Ovis aries: one gene and its partners. The protein of the gene in region 3 interacts with the protein of the main gene of each other region in a pairwise test. Links are inferred from orthologs where the notes say so. Each region holds a gene or a part of one and is shown on either strand. Other genes may lie near its edges.

Region 1 (3,642 bases), on a different chromosome or scaffold from region 3:
TTCACTGCTGCACCAGCTCAGTTCTTGGGCACAGGGTCTGAATCGGGTATTTTTCACCTTTGACTCTTCTGGAGATTCAGTCTGGTTTGCTAATATTCAAGAGGGCTTCCCTGTCCTGGTTCCAGATTCTTCACTAGTTGTAAGCCATTAAATGAGGTGGATGTGCCCCAGCTTAGCAGTAATCGCTATCTTACAGTCCGCCTGCTGGAGTGCAAGCCAACTGGGCACGTAGAAGCGATCTACCAGCCCTGGGTAGGACCCAGAGGGAACTTCTACTTCATTTCTCTGGGTGGACATTGAGCTAAGGCCTGTACTGTTTCCCGAAAAACCCCACTCTCTCTTCCGGCCTTCAGATGACGAGTTTGTGGGTTCGGATTTCCTAGGGGAGTGATTTCGGCAGGATCCCAGACCGATCCAGTCGACCCACCACCGGCCGACTGGAGTGTGATGTCGGCTCGGTCCCGGGTCCGCCCGTCCGGCAGGGGGCGCGCGGTGCCCGAGTCTCCCGTTCCTGCCCTTCTGCCCGGCCCCTGCCCGGCTCCGGAGTCGCGGGGGCGGGCGGGAGCGAGATGGCGACCGCCAGGAGACTCATGGCGCTGGCCGCCGGCGTCTCTCCGCGCCTGCGGCCATCGGGTCCCCGCTCCATCGGGCGACAGGGAGGCCCGCGCGGCCTCTCGACAGGCTGCTCCCGCCCCGACCGCACCCAGGAGGCCGCCGAGGCCGAGGCGGCCCCCGGCGAGCCTGGGGAAGGCGATGGAAGCATGGTGAACGGTGAGGGCAGTGGCGGGGGCAGCCAGGCTGCGACGCCCTTGACTCCTGGGGATGGCAGAGCTAGGGGCGCGGGCCGGGGTCGGGCCCTCTTCGGTATGGCTGAGACAGCCATTCAGTGGCGGGCCGCAGCCCAACTGCTGTAAAACTCAGTGTGGTTCAGGTCCAAATGGACCCCAAGCGCAGAGGTCTGGGACTGGAGCGCCTGCCCTGGCAACAGTAGGTGAGAGGTGCGTACCACGAGGGAGCTGGGGAAAACAGGTAAACGTCCAGTTCCTGCCAGGGCGGTGGTCTAGGGTTAGAGCATCACGGGTAAGCACATCCTTCCCGTTGTAAGAAAAAGAGAAAGCTCAGTATCCATCTGGGACTTTAAGATCTGAAATAGAGACAGAATGATTGGTCACAGTGGATCCCAGCGCTTGCCTCCTGAATAGTGCAGGAGATGAAACTAGTAAGAGCACCCCTGCCGACCAAGGATGGACAGAGTGTGCTAGCCTCTGCCTCTCTATAGAGCTGGAGTGGGTACCCCTGCACATCTGTATTATAGGTATGTCTGATGGGCTACTTAAAGTTACGCCCTCCTGTGAGGTGGAAGCCCTTTGAGTCTGCTTACATACTCTTTCTTGGCTACTTGATTCTCAGTAGTTTTAAGAGTGATCCTTCAGAAGGAGATAGGGCCAGGCAGAATCTTCCCTCTTGGCCAGTTGACAGGGGAGTCTTCTCCAGGGAAACAGTTTGAACCCAGGCCGCAGAGTTACAGCAGAGCTTGTGGAGGAGCGTTTTCAGGACACAGAGACTTGCCCAACACCACGGCCATTCTCAAGTGTCCTGTGGGGATCAGTGTGGAGGGCTGTGAAGACGTTCCCCACGTGACTTATGATCGATGCACACAGGTGCATATATATACACACACACATGCACACACACACAGGCTCTATAAAAAATATTTTTTGGAGCTGAATTATAAGCCAGAGACTGTGGGTGGAGAATGAAAAAGCTCTCCATCTCCTCTGACTCTGCATCTCCTGAAGGTCCACTCTGGTGCTCTGGAACTCTTCCTTCTGTTTTCAGTCACTCTCAGCAGGATTCTTCATGGTCTCTCTAAGTCCTGTGTTTGGCACAAGCTGCCTCTAGGTGGACATCTCACCCATTTGTGGTCTGAAATTGATCCAGAGTGCAAGTGAGCAGATGTAAGGTATCTCTCATGATGTCTGATGCATCCTGCCTCCACTTGGTTCACTGCAGTGAACTCCTGGGAGGACCAGCTCATGCCTGTGGCTCAGCTCTGGAGGTCTCTAATCAGTGTCCCTGCACAGAATCCGGATGAAAGGGGAGGTCTTTTGCAGGGTGCTGAGGTGTGATGGAGAACTGCGGCTTGGTGTTCAGACTCTGCAGGCATTCCTCCCTTTTGTGTATCTGTTGTTTTAGGAGGGGCCTTGCGTTGTCTTGACCTCCAGTGTGTGTACGTGTGCCTGTGTGTGTACGTGTGCCTGTGTGTGTGCCTGTGTGTGTGTGGTTGGTTTGGTTTTGTCTATTTAGTGCTTTCTTCCAGACATCAGATTAGGGGGGTTGCTGTCATCTAGGCTTCTATAGCTGATGTGTAAAGTCAGGAGCTTGGGTGAGGAAGAGGATGCTGGCTGGTTCCCCTCTGGTGTCTGGGGCATTGACCCTTCTCTTTCACAAGGAGATGCTTGTCCAGTGGGTCTAGGTCCACTGTCCCCTGTAAACCCTGAAGCCATCTGTCCCTCCTTTTTAAGATGCTCCTGGGTGGTTTGGGTCGCGAGCCAACATCCTCAGTATCCAGCCCAGGGTTGCCCTGAAGCATACCCCACAGAGTTTTTAAAGCAACACAACTATAATGCTTTTGTCCTTATTTTCTTAGCTTCTAGGGACCTATTAAAAGAGTTTCCACAGCCCAAAAATCTTCTCAACAGTGTGATTGGAAGAGCCCTTGGCATCTCACACGCAAAAGACAAATTGGTCTACGTGCATACAAATGGACCGAAGAAAAAGGTATGGTGGCAGGGAAACACGTTGGTCTGAGCCTCCGGAAGGAAACCAGCTGCCCTTTGCTCCCCTGGATTTCTCGTCAGGGAGGCCACAGTGGAGGTTGTTTGAATTGCGAATGGTCAGCAGAGAATCTCAGAACAAAGCTAGGTCTGGAGCAGAGTCTGGTTTAGGGAAAGGAAACATGGGCAAGTGAAGCGAGATGCTCTCTCATCTTGTGTGAGACAGGCCACTGTAGTGGGCCCTGGTGTTGGTCCTTCCTCAACTTCTTGGAACTGTAGAGGGTTAGGGTTGATGATGATTCCTGCTCCCAGAGTCTTGTAGGTCCTGGGACCAGGAAGCACGCAGGCAAACCATTCTGAATGAAGATTTTTAAGAATAAGGGTGGGTCCCACCTTGCCCTCTGGCTGGAACATGGCACTTTGAAGAAGCAAAGCAACTTGAGGTGGGACAGTGGCTTGGTGGGGGTGGGGGGAGGACTGGAGCCTTCCAAGGAGCTAATGATGGGGTCGGGGTTCTGTCTTGCACCCAGCCCTGCTGCCATGAGGCCTGCAGCTTTCCTGTGGATTCTCCGTGTGATTTGTAATACCTTTGTAGTCCAGAGGCAAGGGTTCTGATTCTCTCTTCTTTTTCTCAGAAAGTCACCCTCCACATAAAGTGGCCCAAGAGCGTGGAGGTAGAAGGCTATGGCAGCAAGAAGATTGACGCTGAGAGGCAGGCTGCAGCCGCGGCCTGCCAGCTGTTCAAGGTGACCCTCCCCTCATGAAAACCACACAGACCTCCCTCCTGGGAACTTTTTGCAGTAATGGTCTTCCTGGGCCCAGATGCTCCTAGGTTTAGGATGGCAGAGTGTTCAACCACTCAACC
Region 2 (3,642 bases), on a different chromosome or scaffold from region 3:
GTGTAATATGTTTTGTGCAGTGTTTTTGTGACAGGAGGTTGTTTTCAGGTGATGAGCTGCCATATTGCCAAAAATAGCTCTGTGTGGTGCTGAGCAGTTCTGCCTACCTCGTGATCAATACTTAATGAACGGGGTGTAATTTTAGGATTCCAGAGAGGGTCCTCGCCACCGCATGACTCAGACTACCTTTGTGCCGGAGTTGTATATTGGTAACCTTCGGACAGAGCATCCACAGCTGAAAGAAAGTATAAAACCACTAGCCTGATGCAGAATCATTTTCCTGATCAGATTATCTCAGCTTTAAAAATGGGCACAAAACAACACTGGTGGCCAGTAATTAGCTTTGTGAGATATCTGAAAAGTCAGACCCTCTTTTCTACACAGACTCTGGCCACATGGGAGGCCTTTAATGTCGTCTACAGCATCCCATCTGTTAGAACTGGACAGAGGGGCCCTAGTGAGGGGGTGCTGTCTCCCGGGCTGGTTTGTATCTGGTTGGACCGAGATGTCAGCTTATCCCTGTTTCCTCAGGCCAGTTAAGAATTGAGTGTCATCTGTGTGTCCCCTTCTCCCGTTTCCTGGAGAGAAAGTGGATTATCACTATAAGCTCAGGGGCAGAAACAAGCAGAGCTGAAGTCCAGACCCCTTTCTGAATCTTCTTGTAGGGTTTGGAAGCAGGCAGACGCTGGCTCCTTGGTGCATGTAGGCTTCCTGGAGTGTAGCTCATCTTCCCTGTGTCTGTGCAGGAGACCCTCGGGCATCTCCTGCTGCTGGCTGCCTGGCCCCTTAGCTTTCTGCTGCCAGCCATGGGCTCTCTAGTTGGTTGTGTCCTGTTTTCATCTGCCAGTTGTTTAACATCCTTCAACATAGGGGATCTTCATCGGGAACTAAGACTGGACCTCCAGGGCCTTCGAACAGGCCTTTCAGATGGCGTGCCTGTGTGCTTTTGGAGGCTCTATGATCAGATGACGTGAAGCAGGTGGGCTGCCGCATCCGCAGGATGGTCAGGGCAGCTCGTCTCCTCTGGGCCTGTGGGCCACCCATGGTTTACTGAACGAGGTGACCAATTGGCTGTTTGCCTTCTTCAGGATTGATGAAACCCATAATGCCCCCGGATTCCCTTAGTGGGACTGCCTGTCGCTCTGAGGACCAGAGCTGTGTGCCCCCGCTGCCAGAAAGGAAGGTGACCGCCATTGACCCCACCCCCGTGTGGAGCCCCGAGGGTTACATGGCGTTGCAGAGCAAGGGCTACTCGCTGCCCCACCCGAAATCCAGCGACAATTTGGCCATGGACATGCATGTCAGGTGAGGTGACGCTTGGTCCTGCTGCCTTGCAGCTGAAGGAGGAGTCTCGGTCCTCAGTGAGATGGGCTCTGGGAGGAGGCCGTCCCGGGAGACACCGCCCTCAGGAAAGGGGCGCCTTGAGAGAGACCAGTGTGCTCTGGGAAAGGAGAGTGAGATGAGGATAGCTGGGTGCTTTCATGTGAGAGGCTCCGATGGTGACTGAAGGTCCAGGAGGAATCCTGGGGTCAGAGGCAAATCCCAAAGAACCTTGGGCCAGGGCCGTGGGGTGGGGTTGAGCATGTGTGTTACGGCTCCTTCCTGTGAAAGTAAGGTGAGCTGGCTCTGCCGGCCCAGCACCCCAGACTCTTCTCGGACTTTCCGGCTCCAGCGTGTTTGAACCAGAGGATGCCCAGCTGTTCGTGGAGTCCGCCAGCCACTGATCATCACTCTGGACTCCAGGGGCCGCCACCAGCCCATGGCCCAGCATCTCTGAGGCCTGTTTAAAGATAGAGCGAATGTTCGTGCCTATGTTTTTTTCTTTTTTGTTTAAAAAAAAAATTTTTTTTTTTTAAACTGTGTTCAGCGTGGAAACCAGGAACCAGGCTCCAATCACATTGACTGATTTTTCTGGTTCCTTTTCAGGAGTGAAAGCTCTTACTCTGCCTCCCCCGGAAGGTCAGGGGGCATGAGTGCCCAGCGCGAGCTCCTTGAGGAGAGAGGGCAGGAGTACTTGAGCGCTTCTGACAAGAAGGCCCCAGCAGACTGTGACTCCCGTGTCTCCTCTCAGAGAGTAGGCCAGGAGCTTTTGTTTCCACCCCAAGAAAATGGTCAGGAAGCAGGCACTCCTGTGAGTCACACCCCAAACCTCAGGTGCTCCCCACTGGAGCCTGACTTTGCCCCCACGGAGAAAAAGCCCGAGTATGGTGACTGGGATGTGAACCACCAGTCAAAGGTTGCCGACCCAGACGCTGCGGTTGAGAAGGAGGTACCGCTGGAGGAGCCACCCTTCAGCGTCTCCTCCTGGGAGAAGGAAGGGAGCCCAAGCAAGCCGCCGGCTCTGGAGCCTGAGTGGACGCCAGAAGCCCGGGGCACCAGCAGCCAGCACCCGGAGCAGACCAGCAGGACCCGTAGGTCCGGCCCCATCAAGAAACCTGTCTTGAAGGCCCTCAAGGTGGAGGACAAGGAGAAGGAGCTCGAGAAAGTAAAGCCGGAACTGGCAGAGGGGAACACCCGCCTGGCCCGGGAGACGGGGCCTGTCCATGAAGTGGCTGAGGATGAGGACCAAGAGAACGACCCCGCGCTGGCCAACGTGGCCCTGGCCACCTCAGAGGACCAGGGCTCAGCCCGTGGCAGCTTGGGCCGTGAGGCCAGCTGTCCCGAGGAGGACAACAAGCCTGATGGGGCCCCGGAGGCCAGACCCTCCAGGGAGGCCAGCCACACACCCCCGACCAAGAGGAATAACTGGATCTTCATTGATGAGGAGCAAGCCTTTGGGGGCCGGGGGCCGGCCCGGGGCCGAGGCCGCGGGTTCCGAGAGTTCACCTTCCGCGGGCGGCCCACTGGTAGCGGCCTGTGTGGCGGGGGCGTCCTTGGGGCGCGGGGCCTCTACAGCGGCAGTCAGAGGAGTGGCCGGGGCCGCGGGCCGCCGGATGACTTCCCCCGGGCCAAGCCCCGGCGGAGGATTGCCAGCGAGACCCACAGCGAGGGCTCTGAGTACGAGGAGCTTCCCAAGCGGCGGCGGCAGCGAGGCACCGAGCCTGGGGATGAGGGCACGCTCCCGGAGCGGGAGGAGGCCACGGGAAGGAAGGGCGACTTCAGGGAGTCCTGGCGGTCCGGCAGGATGCACCCCGAGGACCACAGTGGGCCTGAGGCCAAGAACCGAGGCCCCCGGGCCTTCGGGCGTGCCCTACCCCCGCGCCTGAGCAACTGTGCATACAGCCGGAGAACCTTCGCGGCTAAGGAGGTGGCCCCTTGGCCCAGCCGGGGTCCTGGTGCCTCCTGGCAGGAGCCTGGCCCCCCTGATGCGTGTGGGGCCCGGCGGCCCTTAGACAGAGACTATATCCCAGATGCCTACAGACGCCCCGACGCCTTGGGCTCCCGGGGCTTCGAGGATGGCCGCCTGGAGGACCGGAGGGCCTTCTTCCAAGATGACCATGCTGCAGAGTCCGAAAACACAGAGAACCGGCCCTTCCGGCGAAGGCGGCCCCCACGCCAGGACAAGCCGCCCCGCTTCCGGCGCCTCCGGCAAGAACGGGAGGCCCTGGGCCTGTGGGGGCCGGAGGACGAGCCACCTCTGGTGGCCGGCCAGTGGCCGGGCCGTCCCAGACCCTGCCCTGGGGACAGGAGCGGCGCCTCAGG
Region 3 (4,429 bases):
GCCCAGCTCCAGACTCTGTGACTCCATCCTTCCTGTGTCTGCTGGTTTGCCAGAGGAAAAGGCTTCCCCCCTCAGGGCTGGTCTAGGGGGCCTCAGGCCCTATGCTGGGCCCACAGAATCTCTACACTGGGCCTCTGAGGACCCTCTGCTCCCTGCTCTGGGCGATCCTCACGCTACCCCACCCCCCAACATCAGTGAGGACCACTGCCGGATTTCCCAGCTGGCTGGGTGGCAGTCTGGGGTAGGTCCAATGGTGGCTCTCAGATCCTGCCTGCCTCTTCCCTGGCCAGCAGCCTGATGTGGCTGCACCACCTGAGGCCTATATTTCAGCCCCTGTTGAGCACCTCAAATGTTTCAGTTGATATCATTTGTGATCCCTGTCCTGGCTGAACAGTGAACCCCCAGACTCCTGTCCATTGGGTACCTGTGAGTATGGCCTTATTTGAAAATAGGGTCTGTGTAAATACAATGAAGCTTAGATGAGGTCACACTGGATTAGGGTGGCCCTAAATCCAATGACAGTGTCCTCATGGGAAGAGGAAGTTTCAAAGACACAACACAGGGAGAAGCTCGTGTGAGACACAGGCAGAGAGCCAGGGACACTTGGGGCCACCAGAAGGTGGGAGAGCCAGCATTCTAGGCCTTTCACCTTCAGCAGATCTAGGCCTTGGGAAGATGTTACAAATGCCAGAGCTGGAAAAGAAGAGACCTATCTGGAAGCCATGTTGGAGGAGGGCCACAGGAGTTGGGAGGCCCGCTAGGTGTCTAGGCTGGGGGCCTGGTGTGGGATAGGGTGGGAGTGAGTGATAAGTGGGGAAGTGATGTCCCTTCAGGAAGGAGGGCAAGAAGTGTCTCTCCATTCCCCGAATAGAGACTCTAATGCCCTGAGCAGGTCCTGGACTAAGGCAAAGTGCAGCGCTGAACTGTTTTCCTCCCTGTGGTGAAATTTGAGGTCAAGAATCTAAATGCAAAATGGTTATAAGCTGGGGAGCCCCAAGGAGACCCAAGAGAGCACTCGCTAGGCGGCAATCTCAGGATGCCCGAGCCTAGGGCGCAATGGGAACAGAGCCTGCAGAAGTCCAGGAGCAGCCACCGGAGGACCGCTAACCTCAGAGCCTGGGCTCCCCTCCGAGGGTTGGCGGGGCGTTTGGGGCGAGGTGTGGGGTAGAGCGGACTGCAGCCCGCTGAAAGTGGCTTTCAGCGGACGTTCGCACTCGCGGGTTGCTCTTCTTCACACCTGAGGGACAAGCGCGGAGGGTGCCACCGGGCTCACAATCTGCGCCAACCTGTGCCGGCACGCGCCGTGCAGCCGCAGCATCATTGCCACCGCTGTGGCTGAGGTAGCGAGGCCAGACAGGTGCACACCTGCGGGGCTGGGCCCGCGGCACTTCAGGACATGCCCACGTTATTGCCGGGGCTAGCCCCATCCCGCCGCGCAAAACTGGGACCAGAGCGCGAGATCCGTCCCGCCGGGGGGCAGCGCGCAGGCGCGGCGCGTGGCTACCGTCGACCTCCCGGCCTGCCCCGCGCTCGCTGACGTCGCGCCGCCTGGTCCCCGCCGCTGCCGCTGCCGCTGCCGCTGCCGTCGCCGCCGCTGCCCCTGCCGCCGCCGCCATTGGAGTCGGCGCCGAGTCAGTGCGTCCCGTCCTGCTAGCCGCCTCGCGCCTGCCCACAAGCGGCCCGCGCGCCCGGCCGCCGCCGCCGCCCGGCCGGCCGGCGCCCGGGAAGGAGGCGGCGGGCCCGGGGCCGCGAGAGCTCGGGTGACAGGCCCGGCCTCGCGGGGAGGCCCGAGCCGGCGGGCGCCCTGGCCCCGCGCCGCGCCGGCTGTTAATGAAGCATGTCGGCCACCAGCGTGGACCCCCAGGTAGTGGCGGGACCGCGGTCGCGGGGCCGGGCGGCGGGGTCGCGGGGGCCGCTCGCGGTGCCGGGGTCTGGGTCGCGGGTTAGGGCTGGAGTCACGGGACCGGAGCGCCGTCGTCTGGGGCCACGGACCGGTTCGGGCCGGAGCGCGCCGCCCGCCGGGAGGGGTTCTCGTGGATAAGTTGTGTTTCTTCTCCCCGGGTGCTGTCCGTTCGCATGTCCGGCCTGCGGCGAATCAGAGAACAAAAGGACAAGATAATAAAGGTGAGCGAAGTCGGGACGACAGCCAGGGACCGGGGCGGAGGGGCCCGGGAGCGGAGGGGGCGGCGCTCGCCGAGACCCGGTGCACGTGTATGGGGGAGAGCGAGGTCTCCGAAGCGGCGGCCAGGACCGCGGAGTTTTCCTTTCTCAGCTTCAGGGAGAGAAAACTTCTGCTTTTGATATTGGGGGAGACGAAACAGGTCAAAAACAGGGACTTTTCAAGAAGTAAGTAAATCGACCGGGAGAGTAATTCCGTAGTTCCCTCTTTCCGCAGGGTAGTGGCGGGGGAGAAAAGGAGGCCAGGGGCTGAGCGATCCTCCTGTCCGTGACCCCAGGCATGGGGCTGGCCCCTTGGCCCTGTACTCTGGTGCCTTACCCCAGTAGTTCAAGCCTCTGTCTTTTGAGTGTCTTGTAATCTCTTGGGATAGTCTGGCTTGGGGTCCACCCCCAGAACTCACTCCTGGGAAAACTGGTGACGCTTCATGTTTACTCCATAGACTATTTTGAAACGGGGTGTGTGTGCCTCGGGTGTAACCAAATAGGGTTATCACGTTTGGAGATTGGAGAAGGTCCAGCACTTCTTTACCTTCCCCTCCTTTCCTGGCTGAGTGTGGTGACAGTGGAAAGTAAGAGTGCAGCCAGATAATAGTTCAGAGACGTCCAGTTACAGCTTCCCAGCCTCACTCCTCACTGGGCATACAAAGACCTTTGAAACCGGGTTATGAGTTCCTGGCATTATCTCATTTGCACCTCTGTTTTGTTAGTGTCTACCAAATTCCAAATAATTTTCGTAAAAATCGTAACCTAAGTTATTGAAAGTTTTGTATCACTTTTCTAATTAGCTGTGTATCAATTCTGAATGTCTGTCCATTTTTAAAGTAAAAGCAATTTCTAGAAGTTGATGGACATAAACTTGACTTTTTCCAATTTCCATGATTAAAAGCAAGGTTTTAAGAATTCGAAGGTAATATGTTGCAAATTCTCTTGCAGTACAAAATGGTTCTTTGCATCAGAAGGATACCGTTCATGACAATGACTTTGAGCCCTACCTTTCTGGACAGTCAAACCAGGTGAGTTTATCTTTTTATAACATGTTTGCATTTATTTCAACTGAGCTTTGAAAAAGTAAATACACCTTTACTACTGTATTTCTTACTTTATCATCCTGAACAGCAGAGATGCAGACCATAAAGTACTAAAGGTAAAGTAAGAAGCTGACAAAGGCTTGTTTTGAAGAGCAGCATCACATGGAAGTTGGGGCATGAGCGCAGTGAAGCTGGTCTTCTCTCTGGAGGAGATGACATCCCACTGGGGCTGGTAGGCATGCAGCATTCTAGTTGGTTGGTCTCAGCATTGCTGGGTCAACGATGGCATTGCGTTTGACAAAGTGGAGCTGCACTTATTTCTCTGAAGCTTTCCAGAGACTTTTTTTTTTTTTTTTTTAAACTCTGAGCAATTGGAATTTTGGTCTAGGAGCAGCTAGAGCAGGACTCTAGAGTGAGGCTCCATCTTTGGGTTCTTCAGGCCACTGCTGACTGTGACACTTTCTTGATGGTTTGCCCTCCCTGTGCTCGGTTACTTTTCTCTAGAATTTGAAGAGGTGACTCCTGAAAGAGTTGTGGGCAGGGTGAGACTACAGGGTGCCCTTAGAGCCCAAGGCAGTACCTAATGGGTTGTAGCCATCCGTTCTCTTAAGTGTTGTTTTCTTAGCCATGGCAGTAAGGGGATTGTGAATTGAAGTGCTTTCTGTTTGGGGGGCCATCTTGCACACTAGAATGTTTAGGAGCCTCCTGGGCCTGCATCCATGAAATGTCATCCATGCCATCCCGTGTGACAACCAGAAATGTCACAGGTGTCTCCTGGGGGGCTGTGTTGTCCTGTCTAAAACCACTAGCTCAGTTTGAGTTCAAGTTTAAACAAAACGTCTGTTACTTTTAAAGTGCATGGTGTATGTTTGCTTTAGAATCAAATGAGGCTCTGCCTCTTTCTGTGGAATGAAGCTGGGCTGCCTGTTTCCTTGCTTGTCTGCTCTTCTCTGGAGTGTCTTAGGGCTTTTCTCCATTCTCCTTTTTCCTCCTCCACTTGGCAGGACAGAGGCTGAGGGCCACACACACCCCACCCCATCCCCGAGAACCCACCCCTCCTCTCGGCAGCACAAGAGACTGCTCGGTGATGGCCTTTCAGCTAGAGGCGTGGCAGGAAGTTGAGCAGACTTAAACTTATTTCTCTTGCGTGATTTGCTCCAGCAGTGTTACGTATTAAATTTTAACCAAAAATATCGGGAGAGGAGGTTGCTTCACTTAAAACA

The links.
Region 1: the proteins of YTHDF1 (region 3) and DHX30 interact in a two-hybrid assay, tested with the Homo sapiens proteins (2 studies listed by BioGRID, with this or other methods). The link is inferred for Ovis aries from reciprocal best matches to the Homo sapiens genes YTHDF1 and DHX30.
Region 2: the proteins of YTHDF1 (region 3) and PRRC2B interact in a two-hybrid assay, tested with the Homo sapiens proteins (2 studies listed by BioGRID, with this or other methods). The link is inferred for Ovis aries from reciprocal best matches to the Homo sapiens genes YTHDF1 and PRRC2B.

Annotation. Positions count from the first base shown.
Region 1 is NC_056072.1:51,936,164-51,939,805, reverse strand, and holds part of DHX30 (ATP-dependent RNA helicase DHX30), read left to right. Parts: intron 1-542; exon of another isoform or gene 543-569; coding exon of another isoform or gene 570-771; intron 772-2,650; coding exon 2,651-2,781; intron 2,782-3,412; coding exon 3,413-3,523; intron 3,524-3,642.
Region 2 is NC_056056.1:5,322,068-5,325,709, reverse strand, and holds part of PRRC2B (protein PRRC2B), read left to right. Parts: intron 1-1,088; coding exon 1,089-1,305; intron 1,306-1,926; coding exon 1,927-3,642.
Region 3 is NC_056066.1:54,032,199-54,036,627, forward strand, and holds the start of YTHDF1 (YTH domain-containing family protein 1), read left to right. Parts: upstream 1-1,535; 5' UTR 1,536-1,830; coding exon of another isoform or gene 1,831-1,837; coding exon 1,838-1,864; intron 1,865-2,099; coding exon 2,100-2,124; intron 2,125-3,111; coding exon 3,112-3,191; intron 3,192-3,294; exon of another isoform or gene 3,295-3,438; intron 3,439-4,429.